Linked DNA regions of Struthio camelus. The protein of the gene in region 2 interacts with the protein of the main gene of each other region in a biochemical or structural test. Links are inferred from orthologs where the notes say so. Each region holds a gene or a part of one and is shown on either strand. Other genes may lie near its edges.

The links. The genes of interacting proteins can lie anywhere in the genome.
Region 1: the proteins of MAP3K2 (region 2) and SMYD3 are reported together in a solved structure, tested with the Homo sapiens proteins (2 studies listed by BioGRID and IntAct, with this or other methods). The link is inferred for Struthio camelus from reciprocal best matches to the Homo sapiens genes MAP3K2 and SMYD3.

Annotation. Positions count from the first base shown.
Region 1 is NC_090944.1:100,072,789-100,080,022, forward strand, and holds the start of SMYD3 (histone-lysine N-methyltransferase SMYD3), read right to left. Parts: upstream 3,056-7,234; 5' UTR 2,989-3,055; coding exon 2,825-2,988; intron 1-2,824. UniProt on the Homo sapiens protein: Histone methyltransferase. Specifically methylates 'Lys-4' of histone H3, inducing di- and tri-methylation, but not monomethylation. Also methylates 'Lys-5' of histone H4.
Region 2 is NC_090947.1:29,829,752-29,837,461, reverse strand, and holds the start of MAP3K2 (mitogen-activated protein kinase kinase kinase 2), read right to left. Parts: upstream 3,046-7,710; 5' UTR 2,910-3,045; intron 2,772-2,909; exon of another isoform or gene 2,676-2,771; intron 1-2,675. UniProt on the Homo sapiens protein: Component of a protein kinase signal transduction cascade. Regulates the JNK and ERK5 pathways by phosphorylating and activating MAP2K5 and MAP2K7. Plays a role in caveolae kiss-and-run dynamics.

The sequences.
Region 1 (7,234 bases), on a different chromosome or scaffold from region 2:
GGGGGGGGGAAGTGAAACTCCCTATATTACAGATTAAATTAAGCTTTCCTTACAGAACTCAACCCCCTGTTATGTAAATCTGCATTAGAGCTGAACTGCCACTGAATCCACCTTAAGAGGTACTAAAGCATGGAGAAAAGTTATATAGAGCATCTTTGGTTAATAGAAGAGGGAAAATCTTTTAAGTTGCTTTCCCCAATGAGTTTGTTGGGGAGAGATGCTGGCCATCCAGATCTTGCCATAACTCCACAAAAGCACAAACAGCAGGATTTCAGCAAATTTGGAGTACTCCTCCTAGTACTATAGATACCTCTTTACAAAGGGGGTAAGATGATGCAACACAATCTCATGTCTTCTCTCAGGACGTTTACTCCATGGAAACGCAAACTGCCAACTACAAACACTGTTGTTCTTTATCAAAAATTATATTTCTGATCAAACCTTGACTACGTGTCGTACTTCAGGACAGTACATTTTTGAATTGCTAATGGGATATAATTCAAAACAACTACACTACCTGCTATCATTATTAAATCAGTTATAGCAGATAATTTTTGCCGTCTATAAAAAACCTACCATGAACACATTCATCAGAAAACACAGAATTATCTCCAAAGTAAGAAAGCACAAAAGGAGAGACAGTTACCAAAATCCACCATCTGGTCTACATACCTTAGCAACAACGAGCAAAAGCTTTAACTGATGCCAACAGCGCAATGAGGAAGGGATGTTAGAATTTCTATAAGTAGATGTACTAACTATGTATAGAAACACTTTAAATTCACAGTAATTCACTTTACTTTAGATATGGCTGCACAGAGGACTACTGTGTTAGCCAAGCATCTCTTGAGTCACAGCAGCAAAGTCTGCCACCAAGCAGCCTTCCTTACCCTGCTTCAAGATCTCAAACCCACACTGGAAGGACTCAACCAAGGTTAAGTCAGCAGTAAAGCAAGTTTGTGACCCCAAATCCAGTCTAGACCACTCTGCTTCTCAGCACGCAATCCAGAAATAAAAGATTCTGCACATCATAACCAATCTTCTTGCGTCTCACACAGCCAAAAGCTGCATCCTACTACACTTGGTAATAGAAACTGGGAGACAGAAATCAGCGCAGAATTGCATTTTGTAATAGAAAACCTCAAATACTAGCATCTAATAAGGCTGCTAAAACACTAGAACAATTTCAAGCACAAGACCAGTTTGGCTTGGTTTTGCATTTATGTTCCTGTACTGCCACCTGCTGCCACTTCAGCAGGTATAGTTCTCTAAATTTATGTTAAGAGTTTAAAAAAACAAAACAAAACAAAACCCTATGTGTGGATCTACACATTTCATTCATTCTGCAATGGAAGCTAGTCTGGTGAAAAAAATTTATTTCCTTAATTTAACTTTTAATTTGATATCATTATTAAAAAAGGACAAACTTTCAAATGCATAACCTTTCACAACCTATCAGTTGGTAAAACTACTATGTCTCCCAACAAACCTTGCCCTGGTTATATTTCTTATAATGCAACTACCATTCTCATTCCAGCTTTTGCTGCACCCATGCTGCCCTCTACAATCTCTCACTAGTTGAAGCTGAAAGGGAACAGCCAGTCACCACCACCAGAGCCCTCTGAAGTCGAGAGTCAGACTTCTAAGATATAGGATTAGCTAAAGATCTTTTTTGTTGTTACTTTTTACCTGCTGAAGTTAGATGCAAGTGTGACCTGGCATACGCTGTCAAACTCCTCCCAGAGAAAATAAGGTTCGAAAATAAGCATTATTTCTTTAAATAGAAGCCGAGAACCCCTGTAAGGATATGACACTAGGCTCTGGTGGGAATATAAAAATAATCCCAAATTCTGCTGCAAACCGGGCTATGACAATCAATCCTGCTAGAAAATTAGTTAAAGGTGGAAAATAGACACTCATGGGTTTGAGGATTTTTTTTTTTTTTAATAAACACAGAAAGCTACTTTGGGTTTCTCCACTTTCACTTGTTCGGATTTGGGGGAAGAACAAAGGTGTTTATTCGATGCGGGTCGCGAAACCGTGTGGTTCCTTACAACGCATCAGCACACCCCGCCGGCAGGAAACTCGACCACCTCCCACAGCGCACCTCCTTCAGGGGCAGCGCCTGCTCTCGGCTGCGGGTGGCTTTAATCTGCGCCCCTTCTCTCCCCCCGCCCCCAAAACGGGGGGCGGGGGGGGGGCCTGCAGGCACCGCACCGCTGCACAGCTCCGGCTGGCTAACAACGCTGCTTCTTCCTCAGAAACGCTGCCGGTGCCTAACTCGTGGTCGCCATCGCTACAGGCGGCCAGGACAGGGAGGGGGTGGAGGGGCGGGAGGGTTACCCGCGCCGCCACACGGCTGGGGCGCTCGCCACCCTCGCGGCCTGACCCGGGCCGCAGCGGGCCGCTTCAAACGGGGCCGGCGCAGCCAGCAGGCGCCCCGCAGCGGCGGTGCGTTTCCGCCGTGAGCCGTCGGCCCGGCCGTCCCGAGCACCGCTGCCCGCAGCGCCGACCCGGACCCGCCGCCCAAACGCCGCTGGGCGGCTGCCGTTTCCACCAGGTTTACGGACTCGGCCACAACAAGCGGGCACCTCCCGTCACCAGCGCGGAAACGCCGGCGTGCGGCCGCCTCACGCAGCGGCGGCTCTCCCCCAGCACGGGGCGGGGTCCAGGGGAACAGGAAACGGCGGAGTTGCACGCGGCGTCCGTTAGCCCGGCCGCAGCCGCTCAGCCGCCTGCCCCCGGTGCCCGGCGGAAGGGGCGGCGCGGCGCCCTCCCCGGGGAGAAGCGGCCGCCGCACCCCGGCCCCGACCCCGACCGGTACCTGCGCAGGCAGCGCTCGCAGATGCCGCCCAGCTGCTCCTTGGTGACGACGTAGGCGAAGGGCTCGGCCCGGTAGAGCAGCTCTCCGGGCCGCACCCGCCTGAGGCAGCGGAGGCCGCTGCCCTTGCCCGGGCTCGGGAACTTCTCCAGCGCCGCCGTCTCCATCGCGCCTCCCTCCCTCCCGCGCTGCCGCCGAGCGGCGCCGCGGCCGTTTCCCGCCCGCCGCCACGTGACGCGGCGCCGCCGCCGCCATCTTAGCGCAAGGCAGAGCCGCGGCGCCCCGCACTAGGGTGGGGGCCTGCGGCCCTGGCCGGAGCGAGGAGCTCGCTAACTGCAGCGGCGGTGGGCAGTTACAGGTAGGGAGGATGCTGATTTTTCTCCAGTTCTTTTCAAAGAGCGTGTGAGAGAGAACATTTCTGGTCATCAATCCTGTTAAAAAAACAGATGGGAAATTCTACAAAATGGCCTTTGGCACTTAAATCTTACGCCTTCAACAGCCCGACTTCAGAAAGAACTTCAAGTGATAATAAAGTTTAAAGTGCCGCGCTGGCCATATTCAGCACTATTTTTGCTTCATTTTAGTGGTCACCCAGCCTTAACAAGTGACACAGAGGTGGAAACAAATTACAATAGTAAAAATGACATGAGCGTAGACAGAGTGGGAACTCTACAATTTTATACAGAGTAGAAGTAATGAAATGACCTGGTTGGGCACCTCCCAGGGCCGTGGGGCAGCGATCTCCAGTTGGGGCCCAGTTGCAGCCTAGTTGCCAGGCCAGCAAAGGGGGAGCCTGCCAGGAGGGTCGCGGGGAACTGAAGCGCTCCTCTGTTTTGTCCTCCATGTGCTTGAACGTAGTCAGGTCGTTGCATCTTTCAGTGCACTGCGTAGGAAAAATTGTACGCGTTTTGTGGCGCCCCTTCAAGGTTTGCTAGTGACACGCTTCTTCACAAAGATTGCATTCAAACAGCCTAGGGAAGTCAGATCCCCTAGGCAGGGGCTTCACCAGATATACACCCACTCGCTGTAGAAGACTAGGTGCTTTTCCGTTCATTGGCTGCGCGTTACTTGGCGTAACTGAAGTATTGAACAGCTGGCTCACAAAGGAACAGTTAGGGCAATGATTCTGCCAAATACCCTCACAAAACAGGACATTTGCCTTATGAGTTGGCTTCTGGATCCATTTGTGGATATCGCTGTGCTCTGATTATAAGCAAGCAGTGCTAGATATGGCCCTGTGCTGTGTTCTAGCTCCTTCGGGTTATCTGGGGAGCAAGTGCTGCACACCACCTGCATTCCGGAAGTCATTTGGACCCATCTGTAACAGATGCCAAATAAGTGAGATGGGAAAAGCAAAACACAACTAACTAAGAGCACCTCTCTGAAATGGCCAAAGCACAGGAGATGCTGAGTGCTTCCTGTCTGATTCTTCCTAGCTTTCATTCATTTAAGAGATCGCGTATGTCATGGGGGTTGAATGCTCTCAACGGGTGGATAGGCTTAGTCTGATTTTCCTTATAATGCCAATAGAGGGAGTACGGGCACATTGCAAGACAGATGTAGAAGTCCTGCAGAGCAGCTTACAATGTAAGCTAAAACACACTCAGTTCTGTTCTCAGGAACAATTATTTTAATCTACAACTGCTTTCCTTCAGCTGTAGTAGGGTAGTCAAAAGTGAAAATATGCACATCGAAAATACTGCTGGGAAGACTACTACCATTGGGAAAAACCAAGGTAGATGAAGCCACTGGATTCTCACAGAATAATATATTTAGACATTTTCTGAAATGCTGCAGTGATGTAATTCATTAACAAAAGAACTGAGAACAATCTAGCTTTCTGTTAAATAGTTAAGTGGACTACTATGCTTAACTGTAATCCTCCAAGCAGACTTGTCAGAAAACATAGCATTTGACTACAATGATCCTGTGAGACACGTGACATTTATCCCTAATAGACTAAAATATTAAACCACCACTTCTATATTCAGCTTATATGCTATACTCCTTCCCCTGTTAGGTCTCCTGTCTTGCAGCGTATGCTGTTTTGTGGTCACAGAGTTTCTAAAGATACATTGCCGGAATCCCATAACGTAATAATAACAAGAGTTAATGGCTACCTCTTGGGTGGTCAAACAATATATGCAGAAAATGTAAGTAGAAACATATACATATGCCAAAAACAGAAAGTCCTACATAAGAACTGCAGAAAGGGCACTCAGGACAGGGCTAATACAAATACACTATGCAGGATGTAGATTTCATTATTTTCCCAATTTTCTAAGAAAATTCCAGTTTTCTCACTTCATGTGTCCAATAGAGAAACAAAATCCCACAAAGTAAAAAAAATGGGTCTAAGGAAATAAAGCCCTTCTTTCACCAAAAAAAAAAAAAAATTGCAACCTTAGCCAGGACAGCTATTCTGCCAAAAACCCAAGCGTAAAAGCAGCTGTCCCTAAAGAAGGGGGCTTTCATCAGCTCTGCCTAAGCTGGACAGTAATATAAACTACAGCAGGCAAAGAACTTTTGGCTGATGTTGATAAGACCCTATAATTATAGTAATAGAGGGTTTTCTAGTATAGATAAGTTCTGAAGCAGAGCATAAATGTTTTCGCTGATGCAGTGTTGGATATTTCAACATCTGTAAGAAGAGGCTTGAAAGCTATCTCTTGATATCTACATCTACGGTTTATAGACTAGTTTCTTTAGGTCAAGCCATGCAACATCCTCTCTGAGCAATGGAGAACAACTGAATGCCTCACCAAGGCAATTTGGGAAACATCAGTCTGAATTTTCTAAAAAGCAGCAAGCCGTAGTGATATGATGTCTATAAATGTTCACTAATATGGCCCAATAAATGTTCAATTGGCACTTGAGCGTATTTAGTTTCATTAATCCTTGCTATTATTACGGGGTTTTAAATGATCGAGTCAGCCACTGACCTAAACAGGTCAGACTTCCTGATGCTTACTGGAGCATGCATGACATCATTCCGCGCACAGACAGCTGTCAGGGCATGTAATGGAGGCATTTTTGTGGGAATTATCACTTAATTGCAGCTGATGCTGCTGAATTAGTCATATTTCCTTGTTGCCTCTAGATGAGACATTGTAAAGTTTAGCTCTTCTATCTCAAGACAGTTGTGTTCCACAACATGAATTTTAAAAAGGAATTGCGGTAATGAAATAACCCACACACCTATACAAATTCTGCTCTTTAGCCATAAATGTCCAATACTCATTCCAGCCAGCAGGACATAGAAATGAATTTTTTGGGGACAAAACATGGATCTAATTACAAAATTTAAGGTTTCGAACTTATACAAAACCTGTATCACTAAAGATATTGGGTACGTATCAAATAGCTTTGGTTGAAAGCTTATAAGCACAGATGGATCTTTTATGAATTCGTAAGAGTCTCTTCAACATGGTGAGCTAATTAAAAATTAATGATTCCTAGATGTAAAAGAAGAAAAAAAAGCAAAAGCATTTTGAGCACAAATTCATAATAAATTTCATACACAGACAGATTTTACCTATTGGGCTTTTTTTTTTTTTACTATGAGCTTTATAAAAACTTTCTAGTTTTTATAACTTTCTTGACTGCTCCCTGCCTCAAACATATACATTTTCTTCAGATGGCATGAACAAGCTTTTGAAGCTGAGGTCAGCATAATTTCTTAACTGAAGGACAAGAATTGTAAGTGTACTTTATATGAAAATAATGCCTGAGACATAATTACACAAAAATGATAATCTCACATCTTTACAGGGAAGCATGAATCAAATAGTTAATTTTTTTTTCCTACAGACAATTTCTCACAGGAAGCATTGAATGTTATTAGCAAAGACTTCCAAAAAACTTACACCCATAGTGCACTATGCATTTATTTCCTGCTTTTCTTTAGAAGCCGAGTTTTCAATTTAAGCAGCGCTTTTACACATGGGTAAACATTCCTGAGTCAATCTGTAGAGTGCATGCATAAAAATCAAGCAAAATCATTGCCGACTCAGTTTGGCTGATGGCTTCTCTTAAGGTTCAGAATGGGATTCTGTGGCAAAGAAATAAAAGCCGTTGTATATGTCTACTACGCTCTGCAGCTGAAAATATGGGAGCAGCAAAGGGTTGTGATGACATCAGACTTATCTGCAATCACTATAAAAATAAGATCCCATAAACCAAGAGACGAGGACAAGAACAATCCTGTAGAAAAATGTGAAGAGCAGCCATCCTGCAAGGAAAACTTATGACTTATTCAAATGTACGAATCATGCCAAACTCTATACAAACATAAAGTTTTATGTAAATAGGTAGAGCTGTTGGTCTGTTTGGTGTCTTATGAATGGGAACAACTACATAAAGTGTTAAAAGTCTTGCTTAACGTTGTGAGTAACTGACTGTTCCATTTGCTGC
Region 2 (7,710 bases):
CCCTCATCAATACATTACTAAGTCAAGATCTCATGCTAGGGCCCAGAAGTAAGAATTACAACTAGCACACTACATTCTGAATGCTTTCCCACTGCCCAATTATATGATGCCTGCAATACTTTTTTGCAAGTTATATGCAATTATAACATACATGACCTACTTTGACCTATTCTGTAACACTACAATACTCCAGCATCTTATAATTGGAAATTCAGTGCTTATCATTAAAAACAAACCCTCCTTCCCCACAGAGAAATTAGTGTTATCAGTAGAACTCTTTGAGGGTTGTTTTTTTTTTTTTTGGTAATAGCCTGTGGGTTCTTCTTTCAGAATATTAAAAGTTAAAATTTAGAAATTAAGCTTTCAGGACAGCAAGCAACTACTGGCTAACTAGATAAGCCCAGGTAGAGTCACTAGTCTATATACATATTTACATTAGCTCATCACATATATGAAAACAAGTTCTACAAAAGGTAACAAGATGTAATTAATTGCACTGATCAGGTACACCAATTTCCATTACTGATTTTTTCCCAAATACTAGTCTACATAAAGAGCATAGCATTAACTGCAAAGATTTGAAAAGAAATTGTAACAAAGTCTGGTCTTTACTCCACACAAACTACGCATACCTTGACAGATCAGAACACCTTTGGCTATGTGTTTGGTGAGAGAGGGTGAATTAATGGAAGAAGTCACTCCATTATTGCTCTCATGATGTATTTTACAAGCAGACATTACTCTCAGTCCAAAGACTGCTCCAGTTAGAGAGTCACTGAACAATCTGTCACAACAATAAATTACATGTTATTCATTACTTTTGACTTAGTTTGTAATATAAAAAGTCAGCCTGCAGTGAAGATAATATACATGAAAAAGAATTAGCAACTGAAACTTACGTTGCTACTATACAAAGCTTTTTCAAGAAATTCTCCATAAACCTTTATCAATAAATGATAAGTTTGTTTTTTTTTTAAATCTAACTTATACCTAAATATCAACAGCAATTGAGGAAAAAATAAGAAAAAAATACAAAACCTAAATTACATATCTGAATTAGATTTATAACATGACTAATTTTCTTGCCTTCTCCAAAAGAAAACTATATCCTTACAATAAAACAAACCGGGCTTTTGTATCTAACCTCAATCAGCTTTAAATTCTGTAAGTCCACACATTTTCCATCTTTCCTAAGACTGATATGAAAGAACCAATGACAAAACTATGACCAAACGTGAAATGTGATACTTTTACCATAAAGTATCTAGAGGTTTATCAACATAAAGCTGAAAAAATATGTTTATGTATGCTCTCCTCTAACCAGAGTTTTAAACATCAGAGAAAAAAACAACACTCCTGTTATGCTACAGGTTGGAAATTTTTACATATTTCTCCCTACCTGTGCAGACATCTACCTATTCACACATACCATACAAGCTCTCAAGGTTCTCAACTGCAACAGCTATCTTAGAAAAAGTTTCCTCTGACAGTTCAGAAATTTCAGCAGGCTATCCAAAAAACAGGTTTTCTTTACCATAGTCTTCCATTAGTGCCATGCAAACCACTGACACTGAGTTTATCAAGACAGACTGCACTCAGATTTTTTTCCAGCAGAATCAGCATGACAAATACTAGTTTACTATTTTGCTTCATCAAAATACAATAAACTCTTTGAAAAAAAATCAAGTGAACTACATACAGCATCATTACCTGAATCAATAATCAGGTTCGACACGTTTCAATAACAACTATGTCATAAGACAAAGTGCAAGAATCATGAGTTCTCTTTTATGAATGTAACTGTATTTTGGAGGAAAGAGCTATTTAAAAAACATCATCATCAAATACAAATAACACATCAAAGTAAAATTTCTCTTACAGTATTTCTGTTATTTTCAAATGGCAGTGAAGGATTTAATCTCAGAGCAGGAAAAAAATTACAAGAAAATTCTTTTCAGTTTTGCAATGTAGCGTATATACTAACTCATCACTCCCTGTTCCCTTAAAGCTATCCATAAAGGAAACCCATAAGAAAGAGAAAGCACACTTTCTAGGGTATTCTGCTAATAAGTGCTACGCCACAAGGGACTCCAAGATGTTTTGCAAGAGAAGCATGTAGACATTCGTTCTGCAAATACTAAGCCTTTGCCACATACATAAGAACACATTTTGGAAGGCCTCTTGTACTCTGCAACATGCTGCACTGTTTAAAGAAAAAAAATCTCACAGTTCAAAAAGGTTTTCTGCATGCAATAAAACCCCTCTTCCTTCAAGGCAGGCTTCCATTATCTTTTACCATCCTTTCAAGGAACATTTCAGTGATACCATATAGCCCAGAAACATTCAGCTTATTTAACGCTTTCATCTTCAATAGTTCCACAACCAACCATTAAAACCATACTAACGAGGAAAGAGAGGAAGCCAGGGAAGAATCGCGTGGGTACTGCGGCGCCTCACAAGCGGGGAGGGAAGAGCCACCTAACGTTCACTTTTCCCCCCGACAAAATCACCGCGCAGCATCTGACCCACATACCCAACTCACGGCACCGCTCTCGCTGCGGAACAATTTAAGAGCCCACAGTATCGGCGCGCGATTACAGGGACGCTTATGGTCACCTATAAATATTTATACAGCTCATAAAACCCTTAAGATCCGGCAGTCGGAGCGTAAATACCTCTAACGCGTCCACCCTCCCCGACACCTCGGACCTGTACCCGGTCCTCCACCTGCGCGGGCGGGGACTCCGCTGCCGCTCCTCGGTGCGGCCTGTGCCAGCCCGCCGGGCACCTCCCGGGCGCTGGAGCCGCCTCCCGGCGGCCTCCCCGCGGCCGGCCGCGCCGCCGGGCCCGCTCCCCCTCGGGCCGCCCCGAGCCGCCCGCGCCCCCCCCCCCTCCCCCCAGGCACCGACCTGTGTCACAGCGGAGGCCGGGCGGCAGCGGGGGTGGCCGCGGGCCCGGCGGCGGCCGGCGCAGCGCCGGGAAGGAGCGGCCAGGTTTCCGGAGCGGAGCCCACCCCCCGGCGGGGGAAGGGGCCCGGGCCTGCCCGCGCGAGGGCACGGCGGGGGGTGACGGCGCGCACCGAGCCCGGCAGCGCACGGAGGCGAGCACCGAGCGGCGCCGGGAGGCGGGTGGAGGGGGGGGGGCGCCCTCCGCCGCTGGCGCGACCGCCGCCGCCGCGGGGGTCCCTGCAGGCGTGAGGCGCCCGCGGCCGCCGCCGCTCCTGCTGCCCACCGAAAGCTCCGCCTCCCCCTCCGCCGAAACCCGTGACGCAGGCCGCGCCGCCCGGCGCCGCCGCGGGGGCAGACCGCGCCGCACGTCATCGCGGCCCGGCGTCACGGCGCACGGGCGGCGGGCGAGCGGCGCCCGGCCCCGCGCACGCGCAGGAAAGGGAGGCTGGAAACGCGGGCCCGCACCAGGAAGGGTGCCGAGCGCATGCGCACCAGCTCCTGCGTCCGTTGGGGGCCGAGCTCCGCGCGTGCGCACGCGGCGGCGCGCGGGGCCTGCGGAGCCCTTAACGCCTGGTGAGGGCGGCCTGAACCGGCTTCCCCGGCCGAGCCGGCGCAAGAGCGCGCAGCGCTGCTGGTAACGGTCGCAGCAAGACTCCGCGTACAGTCTTTCGTTACCGACACGGCTTCCTAACAGAAACAAGCTGCCGTTCCCGCCGCAAGCAGCGACGGATTGTGTTTATACACCCTCTTGAAAGTTATATTCTTAATAGTACTGCTTAATTTTTGTCAGACAATTTTATGTTGTGCCCAGGCTACTGCTTCTTCTTTTCGGTGCTCTCCTCTCTTTTTAGATTTGCAGTCAGAAGGCTAGATTCAAAAGTTGGCCTGGTGATAATGTCTCCTCCATGATCGATTTTCAACAAACAACAAAAAAAAAGTCACGGCCCTTTATAGTCTAAGACAACAATAACGTAGTTATTCCACCAATTACTCCTCCAGTGAGCTCTCTGTGCAGGCCTAGTGCAATATGCACTTAGGGAGAGACTGGTCCTCCACAGTAACCACAGTCTTCCCTCAGGAGGACATTTCTGTATGCCAGCAAGGAGGAGGCTGTCCTAAATCAGTCTTAACAAACACTTCCCAAGACCTATCAGGACACCTTTTACTAACTACATTCAAAGTTTAAGTAGCAGATGACAGGAAATAGTGCTATGGCCATGTAACTATTTTTGCATATGCTTAAAAAAAAAAAGCTTACAGGCACGAACCACTGTGCATGAGGCATACAGACGGTCTGGGCGCGCTTAGCAAACGCTCTTCTGAAACATGCTCGTAGGGAATGCGTGTTCAGAAAGTAGCAGGTAGGTACTGCGACACAAAGTAGCAGTAGTCTATACTATTGCACATGATTGTAGAGCACAGTAACCCCAAGTGAGGTGCCACTCATCTGCAGTTTCTGGCCATGTGGCGTCCCACTCAGAAGTATTTCTCCTTTAAGACAATCAAAGGTTTGTAAAACCTGGCCACGTCCTCAATATCTACCCGGACAAGGGTTTTTGGCCACCTTAGACACACACAGGAGAACTGACTTGACTGCCAGCTTAATACTTACTATAATAATGTATTATAATTTATCATTCTAGGCTTATATTATTATGTCAGCAAACTCCTCGAAGTAGACAAGTCATAGACAGGACTCCAAGCTGCATAACCAGACAAGTAAACTTTCCAATGGAACTCCATATGAAGTCCAGAGATTACGCATTAAGGCCCACGACATGAATATTTTGAGATTTCTCCACTGAAATATGCTGCAGATGATAAAAACAGACACTGTCATTTCTTAAAAAATATATTAAAGAGGACAGTACTGAAGAAAGACCACCTAATGAAGTATATCAAAGGCACAAGGCTCTGAATCACGTTGATTAATAAGAGCTCAAGAACCAACATGAGGAATATGTAACAGTCCCTCAAAGCTAAGACACTTTTTTCCACAGCAGGCAAAATTTTGTCAGCCATGTTTGCGAGATGCTTGTCATGAGGAAGAGTCTTAACTAGGGAGTTACAAAGGTGACCTTTTGTGCTAAATGATAGGGAAAGAGATAAGAGAAACGCTGACTTTGTGTGATGCTCCGGCACCATCAAGCAGATCAATGAACCACAGCTGCTTACACAGCTTTGAAAACACATCCAGTGTTTCCCTCGCCTTAATGTTCCAGTCCATGGCTATTTGTCAGTTTTAGCATCTTGCAAATGGATTTCCCTGATGGAGGAAGGGTTACTGAGCAATACCTTTTGAAGACAGAATTCCTTTACTACAGAAGAAGCCAGTGAGGTTCTGGAAAATCATCCGTACTTGCCCTCTTCCTCTGCCCACGTGCTCCTTTATATTTCTGCACAAAGTCCTCATAGCACAGAGCACTCTGACTGCATTAGGAGCTCCATCCCCAGAGTGCTTTGCTGAGGTCAGGCATATCCTGGCAGGCATCAGCATTACCCTGGCATAATCCCTAAAACAGAGTTTCTTTAGTATCAAGAGCAGGATAAACAACTAAATATTGACTTTAAGAGGGGGAAAAAAAAATCCATCAACATCAGGGACCAGCACTTATGACTGGCTCACAGTGAGCTCAACCCAAACCCAAGGGTAAGGTTCTGAGATCGTGTGTCATGCTACTGGAGCAAAATAGTGCTTATAGGAACTGTATAAATGCTGATATGAAAGAGTATAAAAATAGATGACACTGTAGTTGCAATAAAACACATTAGTTATTTATGCATTCAGTACAAGCCCTACACAGGCAATGGAAGCTTGGAGGAGCAGGGGTAGAAATTATAGGGTAAGCACATCTTAGAAGAGTCCACGCAAGTAATTGACTGAGATTTGGCAGTGTGACTCTCCCCAGATTCCAGAATCAATACCTCATTGCAATAAGAGGTTCTCACCTTCTGGAGATATTGCTTGAGGCTAACAAGTGCCTGTATTAGTTAACACTAAAGCCACAGCTTCCAAGCACTTCAAATGGGCATACACCAGCTCATTTTAGTGGCTATGTCACTCTCCTTCCTTCCCCCCCCAAGTCTCTTTGCCTCCTTCTTGCCTCCCCCCACCACTCCTTCCTTTAGCTTCCTCATGCTGTTACGTTTTGAATTTCACCCAGAAAAAGATCTTGTTAAATAAGGGATTAATTTCATGTATTTTTAATCAAAAAGGGGAAGAACTGTCACAGGAACAATCTGCTGGGGTTAGAACGGACAAGGAAAGTCAAGACTGCTTCTTTTGGGAGCTCACAACCTAAAAGTGTTTGTGATGCCAGGATGTTATAACATGGTCAAGAGTCCTAGCTCACAGGCTTGAGAGCTAATACTCTGCACAAAAATTTTACACCGCATGCCCATGTGTACTGAGTAAACAACAATACCAGTTGAGGCCCTTACTGGCTCCAGCTGACTGCTAGGCTCCTTTGTCTTTCCATGACAGAAGTGAACATATGCCTGCATCTCAGCAATTCCACTTCCTCCTAATATAAATGCACCATCCCTGTGAGGCTGATGCCAAAAGAGAGGAAGAACAAACAGCTTGAAGGAGTACAGTCCTAAGCCACTGCTGCAAGATTCACTGCAGCTTTCCAGCTAGAGCCTTAAACTTACAGATCTGAAGTGAAAAGTAGACTCTACACAGGGCATAAACCTATGGTTAGGGGATACAGTAACCAATGCCTTTATCACCACAGAGCAGGAAAAAATGTGAACTTCTATAGGAATATAAGCAAAGAAGCCAAAAACACTGTTTTAAGAGACAACACCTAGAGAAGTTTTGTCTACGTCCACTTTAAAATTGAGAGCCATCGTTATAGTAAAAAGAAATTACGTAGGAAAAAAAATCCTGTTTGTTATCCCGGCTCTTTTAAACAGCCTCATCTTTCTGATGAGAGGCTCCCTCCTCCCCCTTAGCAACTGTATTTCTCACCCTGTCTGGAATCTCCTGGCATACATAGTATTTCGCATTTCAGGATGCCTTCCTGTCACCCAGACATGCAAGTTTAGCACCAGAACAAAATAAATAAAAAGTAGCCAGCTATTGACTTAACTCTTAATGCTTGAAACAAAACTAAGTATGGAAAAAAAAAAAAAAACCCACCAGTAGTCATTCAGGTATTGAACTGCTTCTCTAGAACAAGTACACTGTAAATGAGACTGGGCAGCAGCCCAGGTTTGGCTGCTCCAACCCCATCAACTAAGCTTATGAGGCAACTCGTTTACCTTCAGGACTCAGACATATTCAGTAGTCCGGAACATGGACACTGTTGACTTTGCTAATAAGATTATTACCCTTATGTCTGCATTACTCAGCCATTTAACGCAAGTCAGCTATTCAAGATGTCAAAAGTAAACTAGAAGATGCTGATTAGAAGTGTATGAAATTACACTATTCTGGCACATACAATGCTTTCTTGAAGATTATACAGGATATTCTACACAACCATTCAGAATAAACATAGCCATAAAAGCTTATAACAGGCAACTGTTGTCTCATATTTATTATTTGCATGCACACCGTGCACCTCACAGCAGACTGGCACTGCACAGACTATACTCCCTTTAGCAAACACAGCCAATGACTGTTCACCTTTCAACACTGAAGATTTTTACAACACAGACTTCATATGACGATAAATAAATACCCTGAATAATCAATATTGTGCCCAGCACAAAGGGTATCTGTAAAACATATGGTAGTTACAGTTTATAAAAATTC